Linked DNA regions of Lepisosteus oculatus. The protein of the gene in region 2 interacts with the protein of the main gene of each other region in a biochemical or structural test. Links are inferred from orthologs where the notes say so. Each region holds a gene or a part of one and is shown on either strand. Other genes may lie near its edges.

Region 1 (7,888 bases), on a different chromosome or scaffold from region 2:
TCTTAGCACAACACCCTGTTTTAGATGACAATGTGGAAGGTTGCTCCGTGCTTACAGTAAAACCAGGGGCCCACAGCCAAGAGAACTTCATTCTGGCTTTCCAGGAGCCTTCATAACAATCTAGTTTCAAACCCACTTCTTGCATCCCTACAGAAGCAGTGCGGTGGCCAAGTGTTTACCTGTTAGATGTGCAATCCTCTTTATCTCTCTCCTTTCTGCCAGTGTCTCCAGTAGGCCTGTAAAGAACCAGGAGGTATGTTAATGCCCATTTCACAGGATGTCCCATTCCAAAGCATCTCAGTAGCTTTCACTGGTATGGCTTTTAAAACCTACATAAAATCAATTTTTCCTTACTCTAAGGCAGGAATAAGTGCAAATTAGGGCGGAGTGGAGCCCACCGTTTCCAGCAGGACTATAACAAAAGCTTTCAGTGGGTTAGGCTTTGCAGGGGTATGTGAATGTCAGGCCAGATCCTGACTCTGAAGAGCAGGGACCGGTGATCAGCCCAAGTGTGGCCCTCACTCATGGCCAGTATACGAGGGCGTGTTCACTCACCGACTTGTTTCTGCAGCACAGGCGTCTGGTGCTCTGAATCTACAGCCTGGAAACAGAGGGAGAGACTGACTCAGTATGACTTCCATATAAACAACCAGGGGCTCATACTGCTTGCTGTTCAACCTTTTGAATCAATTCTCAATTTTAATACAATCTCAGCAATAAATACAGCCATTCTCAATAAATACAGCAATGAAGTGAAGACATTCTTTGATTGAAAGCCCCAACACCTACTGTAAGTCTGTTAGATTTATGTTTTTTTTCTCTGTTGTCTGCAGACCCCTGTGAAAATTGCTTTGTGTGTGTTTTGTGCTTGTTTTAGTGTGCAAAATCAAGTGCAATGGGCCCTAGTGCCCTTTCTCAGCGTACGAGTGACAGAAACTCCGAATGCAGAGCCGATGGTAACAGGGGGCTGTGCCTGATTCTTCTCACAGTGCGAATTTCTGCGACATCCTGTTGGTGCAGACCATTGACCACAGCTCAGATGTGACACTCATATGCGCACTGCAGCTGCGCTGGATTAAATGTCACAGAAAGGTTTAATATTAAGTTAAGATCTTAATATTGTGCCTACATAACACCACCTACTGCTCCTCTCCCCCTGGTTCTCCCCCACACATGAAGGTTCCACACACTGGTAAAGTGAGTCATCCGGTCATAATACAATACGATATGATATGATATGATATGATACAATACGATATGATACATGACATAACACAACATAAGTTCCTGAAGTGCCAAAGGACTCTTTGGTCTTAATTCTAGCTCTAATCTTAAGTTCTTAATTGTTGTTTGAATTTTTAGGTCCCAATCAGTTGCCAATGGAAAGGTACTGCAAACACCTACAGGAATCTGACTCTGGAGGACTGCAGACACCCGTCGCCGATTGATAGATGAGGCAGACGGCAAATTGAGTTCATTTTACATCAGCTATTGAGTTTTGATTCATAAAATGCAGTAACGTCCATCGTGATCTGAATGGAGTCGGAGATCAAGCTCTGACCACCCTGAAGGTGGGAAATGAATTGTAACACTGTGAGACCTCATCAGTTTCCATTTGATTGTCAAGCGTTTCACAAGACTGAAACCTAAAGCTGCCAGCAAACTGAAAATCATGTTTAACTGTCCAGTGTTAACTGCCTTTCCTTTAAATGGCCATATACCCTCCCCATTCACCACCCAATGATTGCATGAAATGTTTTAGTTATTATGACGATGTATTATTTATTATTTTTATTTTCTTTTAAGTAGTTAGGGTGATTCAAATTAAAATGAACAAATCTCTCATCTCATATCAAGTCCCACTGAGCTTCCCTGCACACACATAAAAGTACATATTTATGTTTTCTTGAGACATCTTATCTGATGATAGTCTGCATATATACGAAGAGCCCCTTATCTGCTGATGTAGATCTTGGTACAAAGCAGTCACACACAAATGGTTTCCTATTATTTGTTTATATATTTATGACTCTAAGCATTTAAAAGCACTGAAAAAATGCTGCTGGTCTCTGATGATTGTTCATCCCAAATCTCCATTATGGAAATTGTTTAAAGACCTGTTACAAAGTTCTAAGTAGAACTTTCATTTCGAATAACTTAGTTAACTTTAGCTTTGTAATGTTTCTTTTTTATTCTGAGGTTTACCCATTCGAGTGAAATGTCGCTGTCAAACAGAGATAATGCTACACAGAAAGACCACTTCACACACACGTAATGAAAAATAACACACAGAAGGACAGGCGCAGAAAACCTCTGAAATTCAGCAGCAAGCCTCCAAAGCAGCCACACTCTTAGCAACAGCGCAGAACCATTGCACGCACGCTCAGGCAGAAGGACTGGACAGACGTTCTGACAGGCGAACGGCCAGTAGGAAACACAGTGTTGGAGCTCCCATCACACCCGCAAGGACACAGACAGAGTGGACAGTTCGCACCCCCAGACCCTCCCTGGCTGACCTGCTTGAGCTGTGCCAGCTCTCCATGCATTCTCAGGATTTGGTAGGCACCCAGCCCCAGGGCACACAGGATCAGAAACAGCAAGAAGACGAGCACTGTGGTGATGCAGGATCTTCTGCACCTTCTCTGCGGCTGCTTCGCGGGGGGAGGCAGAGACACCCAGGTAGGGACCATGTTGGCAGCCGGTGCAGCCGCCTCCTGACCTGCCCTGTCCATGAGGAAGATCGGAGGGTAGACATAGTTCAGGTTCTGCTGCATGGTCCCACACGCCGGGGGGCTGGTCTGGAGGTCTCGCTCAGGCTCTGCGGCTCTGCGGCTCTGCGAGCAGGCTTGCACGCTCTGCGACCTGTTAATCTGTTGCCTTTCCGTTGTCCTCTCACACACTCTCTCTTTCTCTCCCTCTGCACTCTGTTTCAATCACGTAGGTACTTCAGACTCAGATCAGAACCCACAGTTTCCTCCCAGCCTGCAGATCGGCAGCTCTGATAGGCTCTTGAATGTCTCAGAAACTGACAGATTCAGCTAATCCCCTTTCGCGTGTCCAGGGGTGCACAAGTACATGTACGTTTGCTTTCGACACCGCTCTGAGACACACACACTGAGGCCAGCCAGCACTCCTCTTTAAATAGAAACCGATGGGTGGAGGGCTCCGCCCCTTCCTCTATCATTCAATTATCAATTATCCCATTTAATCCCTAACCTTGCTAACACACATCTGAAGTTTTTTAATTCAACTTATTTGAATTCGGAGCGCTAGACCTATAAAGGCTCGCAGCCTGAGATGATTGCCGCCTCAATTCCAGCTGAGCTGTGAAAGGTTTTCTCGTTGGCTCCTTCCTAGAGTCTCCTCTTTGTCATAATGGATCTCCCCCTTTGGTATTGCTTTTAGTGAGCGTTCCAGCAGAAAAGCCCTATCACTTTAGATACGGTTAAATTTGCAGCTCACCTTCCTCCCGACAACGGTCTCTAAAGTCTGTTTTCATCTCAGATTTTGAAATGATCTCTAATGTGACTTGCTATCCTAGTCGGCGCATTAAAATGATGACTTCCGCATTATACCTCAAGCCAAAACATTCTCCCATCTTCTCGCTTTCTACAACCGTCGTCTCTCAATGCCCACGTTACCATATCGGCTGACGCTCGGAAGGATATCAGACTGTGATCTCTACTCCGTCTCCAGAGCTTCCTCTCTCTTCTACAAGAATTGGTGTTCTACTCTGCATGACCTCCTCCTTTTCTCTAATGCTTCTGTCAGTCATTCAGTAATATTCAATGCCCAGTGGTTTTCTCTCTCTCCTCGTATAATCATCAGCCCTTCTAGAGCTCTACCCTAATGTTGCTGCCATCCATGTCCGTGACACCTCAGGACCAGTGATCAATCTTACTTCTGATATCAAATCCACTTCTTCCATTTCCACTGAAGGAAGATCCTCTTCCCCTAGTTTCAAGTTTCCTTCGCCATCTCACCTGGATTTCCTTCAGCTCTAGCGAGGATCGTCCCCCTGGCCTTTCCAATGCTCAACCAAGGCTTTTTACCGTTCTCAATTACCCCAATCCCTCATCCTCATGCCCATCTCAGCTCTTTTCCCCTTCAAATTTTGAGTTCCGCATTCTTTTGTCGTCTAGGATCAAATCTCCGCCCAGATTCAGTGGACGTGTTACTACATGCTGTAGCCCATCTGCCCCCACAGCCTACTCTTCTGCCAGGACTGCATGCTCTCCCTTTCCCTCATTCCACCGGCCGCCTTTATTTCCATTTTAAGTGCACTTTTCCAAGCGCAACAGGATCTTACCTCTGGGATTCAGTTCTGCCCCATGTTTCAGTCCCTCTGCTGTCCTCACTGCTTTCTATTCCAGCACTCCATCTTGCATTTCTTGGAATCCAGAGACAGCACCTCTAAGAGTTCCTTCCGGGAAGCCTATCTCCTCCAACATCCTCCGCTTTTTTCCCCCCGAGACAAGGCCCATTTTACCCCTTCAAGGATGCTCTTCTGGATGCAATGTGTTTGACTGCCGCAGATTCTTAGAGCCGCAATCCACCAGTTTGTCTGTATTCCGTTTTTAGAATTGAGTGACCTGACTTGTACCCCAGCTTCTCATTTTTTCTAGCTTGATCCACTTCGTTGTTAATACTTCAGTACCCAGATACATGTTTTCTCCTCAGCTGTGTTTCAATCTACAATGCTGGTCTGGATCCTCGTTTCTTCAGAATTGGAGCTGCTATCTTCACTGCCCCAACCATCCTGGATATTCACCTTATTTAAACAACTGGCCAGTCGTCCTCTTCTGCGCTCCACCTTTACATCAACACCACTCTCTCAGGCATTTCAGCTAATCAATATCTATTGCTAACATGCCCGGGGTGGGGGCGTCTGATCCGCTGGGGCCACCAGAGGTTTTCCCCTGTAGGGGTTCTTTGCAAACCTCTAATTGTGAGTTTGATTGTAGCAGAAATATCACCCTGCAACTCACGCTGTCAGCCCCACTGAAGCTCAGCAGGTGTGAGCCTGGTCAGTACCTGGATGGGAGACTTCCTGGGAAAAACTAAGGTTGCTGCTGGACGAGGTGTTAGTGGGGCCAGCAGGGGGTGCTCACCCTGCGATCTGTGTGGGTCTTAATGCTCCAGTATAGTGAGGGGGTCACTATACAATAAAAAGGCGCCGTCCTTCAGATGAGATGTAAAACCAAGGTCCTGACTCTCTGTGGTCATTAAAAATCCCAGGGTGTTTCTCCAAAAGAGTAGGGTTGTAACCACAGCTGACAATAACCCATTGATCTGAGGATCTGTTTCTTGCAGGACATCCCCAGGAACTGGCATTAACCACAGGACTCGGGTGTCTGATCTAGAATCCCACAACCTTGCTTGTAAACATGTGCCTCCCGTTCCCAGTCCTAATTCAACCCACCAAAGCAGTTGGCCACAAAAGCACGCAAACACCTTTAAATGCCTCCCTTAAGTTGACCCTGAGCACAAGAAGGCACTGCAGGACACGGGATATGTTGGGGCTCAAGGAGGATTGTAAACTCTAAGCAGGAGCAGTGAAGGTCGAGAGTTGTTCTAACAACAATGTCTCAAGGAGGATTGTAAACTCTAAGCAGGAGCAGTGAAGGTCGAGAGTTGTTCTAACAACAATGTCTCAAGGAGGATTGTAAACTCTAAGCAGGAGCAGTGAAGGTCGAGAGTTGTTCTAACAACAATGTGCAGACATGCGAATGATTTTCAAATGCAGGAGGTGCACAGATGCTGGAAGAGCACTGGTCTGCAGGAGGTGCACAGATATTGGAAGAGCACTGGTCTACATGTAGGAGGCAGTGGGGAGAGAGAGCTCTGCAGCTGTGGAGCTCAAGAAGAAACGGGCTGAATGGCTTCCCCACAATCTGAGTAACTCATCTCCGATTTGTGTGAAGTCATGAGGTGACATCATGACTTAGAAAGCATTCTTAGGCAGGTATTGGACACCCTGACGTACAGCGGTAGGGAAATTGCCACTTGTGTAGAAAATATTGGTTGCATTTCCTGTAAGCAAGTCTGCACTGAGACAAGCTCCCAGTCTCGTACTTTTCACCAAAGAATCATAAAAAAAAAACGCTTTTTGAAATATAATGGAAATTGGTGACTCAGATTGCATTACCACAAGTGTGTGATTTCAGTCTGCATGGTATCACAAATATTAAACAACTGTCCTTAGTGTAGAAATTATAGGGGCTGGGAAGCCGTCTTTTTTTAAATGGTGGACTTCAAATCATGTTAATTTGTTCGTTTTTTTTCCCTCTACGTTTTACAAAACTTGTCTCCTCGCAGGGACTGAATAGATTTTTCTTTTGTACATTTGTTAATCTCAGAGCTCTGTGGGGTTTTAATTTTTAAAGAAAGTCATTCAGTAGAAAATGCTGTACAGAGGTAAACAGGGTGGAAGATGGAAACCGCAAATTCTGAGCAAAGTGGCAATTTACACTTATGACCCCAAACTGAGATTTTTAACGTATAAGAGGCGAATCCTTGCCCTAAAGCCAAAAACAGTCTCAGGTTTTGCAGCAGTTTCTGTACACCGGCATCACAGAGGCTCAGGTTAGAGGGAGCTGCCGCCTGATGATCACTTAACCTCAGTGATGGGTAACCCTTCTGAAATCACCCTAAAGACAGTTCCTGTCATCACATCTGACCTCGAATGAACCTGCACAAGAGCAAAGAGCTTGGGAGACCTGACGTGCAACCACAGGGAAACTATTGTTTAAGCAATGAAGCATCATTGCATTTCCTGTACACAGGCATCAATGGTGATGAGCTAAAATGTGGTCTGGGCTTGTTCAGCTAAAAATCATTGGAAAGCTGACTGTCTAATTTCTAGGAGCCACAACATTAGAGAATGAACGGACCCCCATTGTGTACTGGCAAGGCCTAGCGCAAGGTATGTCCCGTGACCATAAAGCACTGCAAAACAGTAGCAGATCAGGCCTTTTCTTTAATATGCTGTGCTGTGGGAAAGGAAGTGGATGCTCTTTAAGCAGCCCCACAGAAAGTTTGCTTGTTGGTGTGCCACTGGAGTATCAAAAACAAAAGCGGCACACAGACGGTGCCCGGCGAATCAGCTACGGCCAGAGCTCGTGCAGGACTGTGACAGGCCTGGCTTTGTCTTATGTCTGCAGACACGTGGCGGCCGTGATGCCTCAGCAAGCCCTGGCTCAGCTCCGTACTCGATCACTGCGGCTTGAAACCCGCGCAGCAGCGCCTGGACACCTGGCAGCTGTCCTTACAGGTGTGCGAGCAGGGATCTTTGTACACCAGCATGAGCCAGAGTGGCCACGAAACCCGACTTTGTGTCTCTGAAGTTTTGACTTCCTGGCTCCGCGCACACGCTCTCCCGGCCCGGCTCTGCCAGGCGATGTTTGTAAACAGAGCTGATGTATACCACACGGGTTTCGCTCACTGCAGCCCGGAGAGCAGGAGGAAGGGAGCTGAGCCACATGAAAGGCGGGTCTTCGACAGCGGATACAAGTTTCTCAGACGCTGTTCGAGAGCAGCAGCAGCAGCAGCGGGGGGCGAGAGGAAGCGGGTGGCACAGCCCGAGTCCCCCCACCTGCTCCATCACTCGCTGTGCAGACGGGGCCGGGACTCCAGGCGTTTTACTGGAAGGCACTGCACTTCTCTCGCTCGCTGACGTCTTCTTCGCACCCGAAGAATCGCTGTGGGGAGACCACATTGCTCACCGAGGCTTAACCATCACTCTGAAATCTGGAAAAAACACAATGCGTTCCCCCCCACCCCAAAAAAAAAATGAGGTTATAATCATGTAATCATTTCCTCTGTCAGCTTTTGAAAAAGATCAGAAACTGAGCATGTTTCAGTGGTTTCAATATGATGTCCCCACAGT
Region 2 (8,145 bases):
TAGGTTAAGTGCATACATGCACTGTTAATTATTAATGTGTTTATTACTTTACAATAGCCTGTTTTCTTGACAACTGTCATATATTAAGACTTAATTTTACATACATTTTTCAGAAGATGCCTACAAGTATTTTGAGAAATGTTACCAGTGTTCTTGATGAATTGTAAATATTAAACCTGTTCTGTTAAGTGCTTCAGAAGCGTTTAATATTGAAACTATCATGTATTTGTTGTGTAAAGTACCTTTTCTATAAAAGTGAATCAGTAATGCTCATGCTATATCCCATTATTGTTTTTTTTATTTTAAAGATTATTGGATTTTTGAACCCATATTCATGTACAGTATATGGTAACAAAGCTTGAATTATACTGTTGGCAGTGTTATATTTTTTTTTAGGCATATCGATCAAAGTTCCTATTAAAACATTATATTCCATAACTATTTTTGTAGATTTTCTTAATACTAGTAGTTTGTTCACTGGTGGAGTATATTTCAGTTGTCAGATGTTAACAGCTAGATTTGTTGCTACACAAAATGTTTTCATTGTACAATTTAAGGATGTGAGTTTTTGTGACTTTGGAAAAAGCACTAAGTTGGCAAAGACAAGCTTTTTCACATGTCTTTTATAAACGGATCAAAGAGACGGAAGAAAAAAAGTTATTTTTTGGGGTGTGTATAAATGTAGCACCAGAAATGGCCAACACGTTATTCCATGTTTTTAAAAAGGACTATTTCATTTTTTAGTTTTTTTTTTCCATTTGATAAAAAATCTTACATATTCAAAAACAGAAGTGTCTTAAGAATAAGCTATTGGATTCTTTTTAATTGGTTTTATTTTAAGGATCTCATCACCACTGTAAGTTTTCTACTTAAAGCAGGAGAGATGGCACAGTGGAGGAACATGAGAAACTTGGCGTTAGCACAGGCTGTGTGTGTAATATCTTCATGTTGTTTGGCAGTCCACCAGAGCTGTACGCCATTCGCAGTCATGGACATTAAGGACAGAAGCCACGTGCTACAAAGTGGATGCTTTGTGTGGATGTAGTTAGCGTGCATTGATTTTTCAACATTGTGCTTCGATGTTGCCACCTTTGTTATTTATAATCTTACCGTTTCAAATCAGCCTTTAAAGACTGAAGATTTAAGCACCTTTTTCAGGAGCATCAAGCCTGCATATTACAATGACTATTCTACTGCCAATGATGTTGTTTATTCTGGATTTGACAGGTATTATAAACCCTGCCTGACAGCAAAGAAATACAATTTCAGTGTCAGTGTCCTATCACTGGGCTTTGACTGTCAGCTCTGTGCCACCGCATAACTTGCTTGGTGTAGACGTCTGCCATCTGTAGATGTTGTACACCATTGGCTTTGCTAGCTGCCTCCACCTTCCTGCTTACTCTGTTTTTAACGTGTGTATCCAGGTTACCAAACCAGGTCGCTACAGTGAAGGTGACAACAGATTTAGTAAACATTCTGTAGAATAATGTCATTGCTGTCGTACAACTCGTTAAAAGAGCGGAGTTAAGTCAGGAAAAGCAAATGCCGTTGGTTCTTCTTACATACAGCATCCGTGTTTTCCTCAAATGTTAGTTTGTCGATGAATGTCTGACCCCCGTCTGTCTTCCAGATCCACTTTCCACCCAATCTCTGTGTGCATTGTTTTCAGACCAGTACAGGGCATAGTGCAGGCAGCCTGTTTCCTCCTCATTCCCAGCTGTTTTTCACTCTAGTCAGGGAAAGCTTCATCAAGATCGTTACTTTCTCTTCAACATGGCATAGGCTGTCAGTGGAGGCATTTAGTATTTATCATATATTTCTGGTTGCAGGTGCCATGGAGGTGGAGTGGTTAGAGTTAGTGAGTGCAGCTGAACGTACCCAATGAAGAAAAGAGAGAGGGAAGAGCAGGAGGAATTAGGAAGACTGCAAGAGACCGATGTTTAAAAGATAAGATAGGATCCCAGAGGAGATAAACCACATAAACATACACTGGTGGGCTGGCACGTGTCACACTGTGCACATTTTCTGTGCTTAGGAATGGAAAATCCATGAATGGTTTTCATGAAGGATAGAACTAGACCCCCATGTCCAGCTGGATATAGATGGTTCCATTTCTAAATAGTTTGCCTGCCTGGCAAAACAGGCTTTATTTTCTGACAGCCACATACTGTAACAGTCTTATTTATAACTTTCGTTTTGTAATTTGCAATACGTCCATCCAGAATTAGGAAGTCCGCACTTGTAATGGAAATTGTTGCTCATATGTAAATGAGATTTGCAACAGTTCACTAACATTACAACATAAGTGCATTGATGTCTTTCTTCTTTTCTATGCTGAAAAGCAGAAAGAAGATGCACAACTTTTCAGCTGTGGAGCCTTCACACCTAAAGAAGGCTCCACAGCCAAAACATCATGTTTCTTCTTTCTGCTTTTAACTGTTCATGTATATCATGTTATATCTGTTATAAACACTAGTTTTATTGAAACAGACCTTCATCAATCTGATCAACAACAAATACAAGAATGCAAGATGCGCAATAAGGCTAGACAACGTGCTGCTGATAACATTGCACGGATGACTTTGACCAGGTAACTGCTGATCAATCAGCTGATCGCAGGTGGTGTTTTTCAGATATTTGTGTCTTTTGAACCCCTCACTGCCTTTGTTTAGCACACAGTAAGTTGTTTGATCAATGGCACAGTTTGGGAAATCTGCTCAGGCATATCAGCAGAAGATATCTGGTCTCAGTTGAGCTTGTATGTTGTGTTTAATTGTATGGAACAAGCAACAAAAGAATTATTGTAAGGTGTCGGATAGGAATAACTACATATCCTGTTTTGCAACAAGCAGCAGAGCTCATGTTTGGCAGAGAGTCCAAGGCAAGTGTTCATACATGGCAAGGACATCTGTGTCCAAAACGTCCTAGCCTCAGGGAAGCATGGGCAGGTGAATGGAAGAAGCTGAATTCTACAACCCAGGCACTTCTACAAGCAGTGCCTTCTGCTAAAGACTTGTCAGCACAGCCCTGAGAAGAAGTGGCTGTGAAATTGGATAGAGAGCATGCATGGCCAATCATAGCTTCTACACTGGGCCAGAGTAACACTCCGAGAACTTATCCTATCCAGTAAAGTACATCTGCTGGAACAGACAACATCTGAGGTCTCTTAAGCAAATGAGGAAGTGATGTGATAGAAGAATCATCGGCTGCCACTTCTGTCACTGATTGATCAGGGTCTAAGCAGTCATAGAACCCCCTGTAAGCCACATCAAGAGCCTGAATCATGAGAAAGCCACTGTGTTAAAGAGAATATGAACCCAAGTGATTAACACATAGCTATATACAAGAGGCTAAAAATCCCTCAGCTGCTACGTACAGTAGGTTATCCAGTAGGATTTTTCACTGAAATTAATAATTAAAGTTACAAGTAAAGGTTAGTTCCATTCTTAAATAGAAGAGACAAGATTTTGACTGTAGAGCTGTCTTCTAGTGTGAGGAAGAGAGAAGACGGGTAGAAAGGATATAAAGCACAGGTGAACAAAAGGAAGGAGCAAATGAAAAAAATGCACAGAGCAGGTGAGGAAAAGTGTCCAAACAAACAGAGATCCGGGGGAGAGGTGACAAAATTGGAATGGATATGGCTCAAAAAGAAATCCGTCTATCATTAAAGGGGGTAGGAAGACATCCAAATTTAAGGAAAATCTTGTTTGTTTGTTTGTTTTTCCTGAAGCAGTAGTATTGAAACCCCTGTAAAAGGATACAGACAAAACGGTCAGTGAAATCATGGCCAGGACAGGTGAAATGGAGAACTATTTGGGTGGAGAGATTTTTCATCCTTACAACTCTGATGTGCTCCCTGAAACGGTTAGCAAGTTTTCTTCTTGTCTCACCGATGTAAGAGAAGCAAGAGATGCAGTAAATGAGATTACTAGATACATTTCTGAGTGATTTTGAAATGTATGGTACTGGACACACGCATATGCTGGTGATTCAACAGCTTCTGTTACAGCAAAAAAAAAAAAGGTGCCTGGTGTGGATGGTAACGGATAAATCAATATTTAAAAACGTTGTTGCTTGTTTGTTCCATACAGTGTCTGTTAATTTATTTTTAGAATTATAACTCCATCGCCTTCGCTCTCACTCCAGGAGACTCATATTACATAGAGCGCCTTCAACGTTTTTAATAAAGTAACTAAGCAAAACAGGCGGTTCGAGTTTTGTTACTCACTTCGTTAATTACCAGATTCTTGAGTTGTGTGGCAATAAATCTGAGCAGACCAGCTGACCTCTCGTCTTCGTAAGGGTTTTGTAAGGGAAGAACATATACAGTAGTTGCTTTTATGGCCTTTGGCCATTATGAGTACGTTTTCCGATTTGCGCTTTTGTTTACTCTATTTATTATATTGATTGTTCAGCTTACTTATACCTAATATAAATTTGCAGAAAAGCAAATAACAGTTTGCTGCAGCATTCCGAAAAAATAAATTAATGGGTATTTTTATAAAAAAATATCCTTTGAATTTTGGACATAAAAGCATAACACGTGTTTCCTAATTTATATAATTTATAATAGGTATTTGAATTTCCATCCATTTTACAATCCATACAAAATCCATCTAAAACCTCTCAATGCGGTATCAATATTATATCACTACAGATATGCGCCACTGGGAGAAGAAACATGAGTTTTTGTCTGATTTTGTAGAAGTCAAATTCGTGGATTTGTTGTAGCATTAAAAAAACTATTTCGTTACTTTCAGAGAGCAACGCTTTGTAATCGGTCACAGAATCCTTTTACAAATAGTATTAATAACTTGCTCCTCTAAAAAAAAAGTGCATTAATTCCTGAAATGCTTTTTTAATGGTTGGCACTTGCAACTCCAGTATTCTTGCTTTCCCCAGAAATTTTGCTTGTGTTCAAGATAACATAAAGGTCTCCAGAGACCGGACATTTGAAGAGCGCAGGGGTATTATGCAAATAAATGCTAAACATACTGAACATTGTACCAGGAAGTTGCACTAAAAACTCCCAAACCAATTCTGAAAACCAAGTTCCTCATTCTGTGTGCTAGATGTTAACAGCAGAAATTAAAACTGGACTTCATTTTTCAGAAGAATAAATGTGTAAACAGTACGCGTGAAATTCGAAAAATAGTTGATCTGCGACAATTTAAAGGCGCCAATTACTGGACAGAACAAGGATCTATAATTTACAAAAGTAAGTCAATTATTTTGTTATAGTCCTAAACAGTTACTAGTATACTAAGTTTGGTGGTAACACCATTCTGTACTCAATTCTTGACATTAAAAAAAAGATATTTTCTTTCAATAATAGTACCTGAAATTAAGGTGGTAAGAGTTCTATTTGATACAGTTTTTTAAAAACGTTACTTCGGTTCAGCTGTTTGTTTTCCCGTTGGTTTTTACAGTCTATTAATAAAGACAGTATTTGCATCATCTCCATAATCATTATCATCTTTCATGGAAATATTATGCTCCATATCTTCAAAGCACTGTACGTGTAAAGTACATTCTTTTACCGTCTTTTAATAACACAACAGTTTCTAAACCCAAGTAAAATGCAATAAACGTCTTCTAGGAGCAGAGTGTGTTTTATCTGACTTAATGTACAGTCCGTGAATAAGCACTGAAGTAGAGGGCTGTCTTGAAACCATTTGTAGGTGTCGATGTGTGTGCCTCCCAACACGTATGTTTCTAGATATGTTAGCAGAATAAGATTGTATTTCTATGACTGTGCAAAGTGCTTCAGATTTTTAATATCATGGGTTTCTCTATGTAACAAACATCGTATGATTTTTTTTAAAACAACAAAATATAGCGAATTCTGGGCAATGTTAATATTTTAGAAACTCTTCTTTTGTTAATTTTTAAGTTCACGTTTTATTGTTTTACTTTGTTATGGGGTAAAGTAATGTTAGAGATGTACTTTAATAAATGCTGGCTAAACTAAAACACAAATAGTATAATTTTTGTGTCATACTTGTTGTGTATTTAAGGAAAGATACCATAGCTTTCAGGATTTTCAGGATAGGTAGCTTAAGCAAACCAAACATTACAGTTTTTAACATTTTGTTTAACTGGTTCATAAAGCAAAAACAATACAGAACACACAACAACATCTAGAAATCTATCCATAAATTATTTAGGTTTGATACTATAACAGTAAAAAGTCAACTTGTTCACATTAATATCAATCATTTCAGCAGACTCATTATACACCTGGAATCTTCAGGTGTATAATTTGAAGAAGAGGTGTCTGGAAGTACTGAGATTTTAACTTCAAGACACTGGAACAAAGTGTGTTTATTAGGAATATTTGTATTCCTAATAATGATGTTATTCAATACTAGTTTGCTATAAAATGTAAAGAAAAAAGATGTCATGAAAAACTGAATGTCATTGAAATTTTGGTTGTTTTTTATTCATGCCATCATGAATTATTTACAAGCATGCAGAATTATACTTTTATTAAAAATATCTTGTGGACTTTATCAGCAAAGTTGTTTTTAAATATGTCATGTATTATATTTCTGTAAATGTTTTAGTATGTAGCTTATTATTTGCCTTTCAACAATGGAGAGTAGCTTATAACCCCTAATGCAAAACCCACATACTTCACAGGAAATGCAAGAAAACAGGTGGTCATGTGTTTTAGACACGCATTGCCCAGAGATGGTTTTCAACACTTTTAGCTTGGTATCTTTTCTAAACCACATTGACTTTTCTATACAATAGTATTGTATAATAAATGTTTGTGCTGTCTGATAGTTTAACACTAGTTCAGTACTTTCATAAGCATCACTTCCACAGATAAGATAAAGAATGAGTCCTGTTTGTAGTTTGTGCTGCTGAATACCTTGCTGAAGTATGGAAGCAATGCCTACATATACAATGTATTCTATATCAATATACCATCAATTTACCTTATCTACCTGTATCTTGTTTTGTTGAAATCTTTTTGTACAGACGCTTCATGTCATACTACTTTATGTGTTGTAGTAGCAGGGGTCGTTCTTCGAACGAGTCTTAATTTGTTGGTTTGGCAGGATTATCATTTTCAGACTGAGCAGGTTGTCCTCTGCCGTGGGGCTGCAGTAATGTTTTGCGCTTTAGCTTTGACTTTGTGTGTTTTGAACATAGTATAAGACATAAGAGGATGTCTTAAACAATCAGCACAATTTGTGGCTCACTTACTGCACATACAGTACAGTATTACACTAATGCAGATAGCAGTAAAACCTTACAATTTGGTTCTGTGTCCATTTTATTTAACTATAAGCCACATAAATCAAAATCAGACAGTTTAAGAGTGGAGGTACCAATCACCCTCTGTAGTGCCAAGTTTATAAATGCTGAGTTTGATGATTTGCAAGGTCCGAAACAGCTAATGTGTGTCAAATGGAGAATTTCCTTTTTGCAAGAAGAACTGTGCCGTTGTGACATTTGTGAGGTGTGCTCATTTGTTTAAAACATACATTAAAATGTCCAAACAAGTTGAATGTCATCTGGCATTGTTCCTTGAAAATGCTTGCTAAAATGCCATTAAGAATAGGGATTAGCATTTGAAAAGAGACAAAACGTGTTGATGATGGTATTAGCTCTCAGGTGGTTATCTACATAAGCTTTTATTTTATTGGACATTAAACAGCATGTTATCTACTGTATGTAGTAAGACCCTGCTCACTATCTGAATCAGCAGTCTTCCCCTGACATGTCAGAGTTGTTGCACAAATGGCCCAGCTCAGAGGAGGAAATACAGCACATCAATTGCAGAAGGGTTACCATGATAATCTGACCATAGCACCCTGCCTGTTTCCTGGCTCTCATCTAAAAATACAGTGACGTCTCAGCTCCAGCATTTCTCAATCTAAAGTCCAGCTCTTTCAGTGGTTTCATCGTCTCTTGAACAGCTTTGTTTAGAAACTATGAGGTCTATTTTCTTCGACGCTTTTTATTGTTCTTTCTGATGTGACAGTTTATTTGGGTTCCTACAATTATTTTTTTTTTAAAACGTTGAGCATTTCTCTTTGGTCTCAAATGAAATTTGAGAGAATTAATATGTGTTTGCACAGATTTTGTGGGCTTTTTTGACCACTTTTTAATAACTGTAGTAATGTCCAGTAT

Evidence for each region. The genes of interacting proteins can lie anywhere in the genome.
Region 1: the proteins of lyn (region 2) and faslg form a complex in vitro, tested with the Homo sapiens proteins (2 studies listed by BioGRID, with this or other methods). The link is inferred for Lepisosteus oculatus from reciprocal best matches to the Homo sapiens genes LYN and FASLG.

The regions. Positions count from the first base shown.
Region 1 is NC_090704.1:31,524,227-31,532,114, reverse strand, and holds the start of faslg (tumor necrosis factor ligand superfamily member 6), read right to left. Parts: upstream 3,059-7,888; 5' UTR 2,775-3,058; coding exon 2,517-2,774; intron 602-2,516; coding exon 556-601; intron 237-555; coding exon 180-236; intron 1-179. UniProt on the Homo sapiens protein: Cytokine that binds to TNFRSF6/FAS, a receptor that transduces the apoptotic signal into cells. Involved in cytotoxic T-cell-mediated apoptosis, natural killer cell-mediated apoptosis and in T-cell development.
Region 2 is NC_090701.1:49,187,337-49,195,481, forward strand, and holds the start of lyn (tyrosine-protein kinase Lyn), read left to right. Parts: upstream 1-5,133; 5' UTR 5,134-5,218; intron 5,219-8,145. Other genes in the region: tgs1 (trimethylguanosine synthase), read left to right, coding at 1-3. UniProt on the Homo sapiens protein: Non-receptor tyrosine-protein kinase that transmits signals from cell surface receptors and plays an important role in the regulation of innate and adaptive immune responses, hematopoiesis, responses to growth factors and cytokines, integrin signaling, but also responses to DNA damage and genotoxic agents.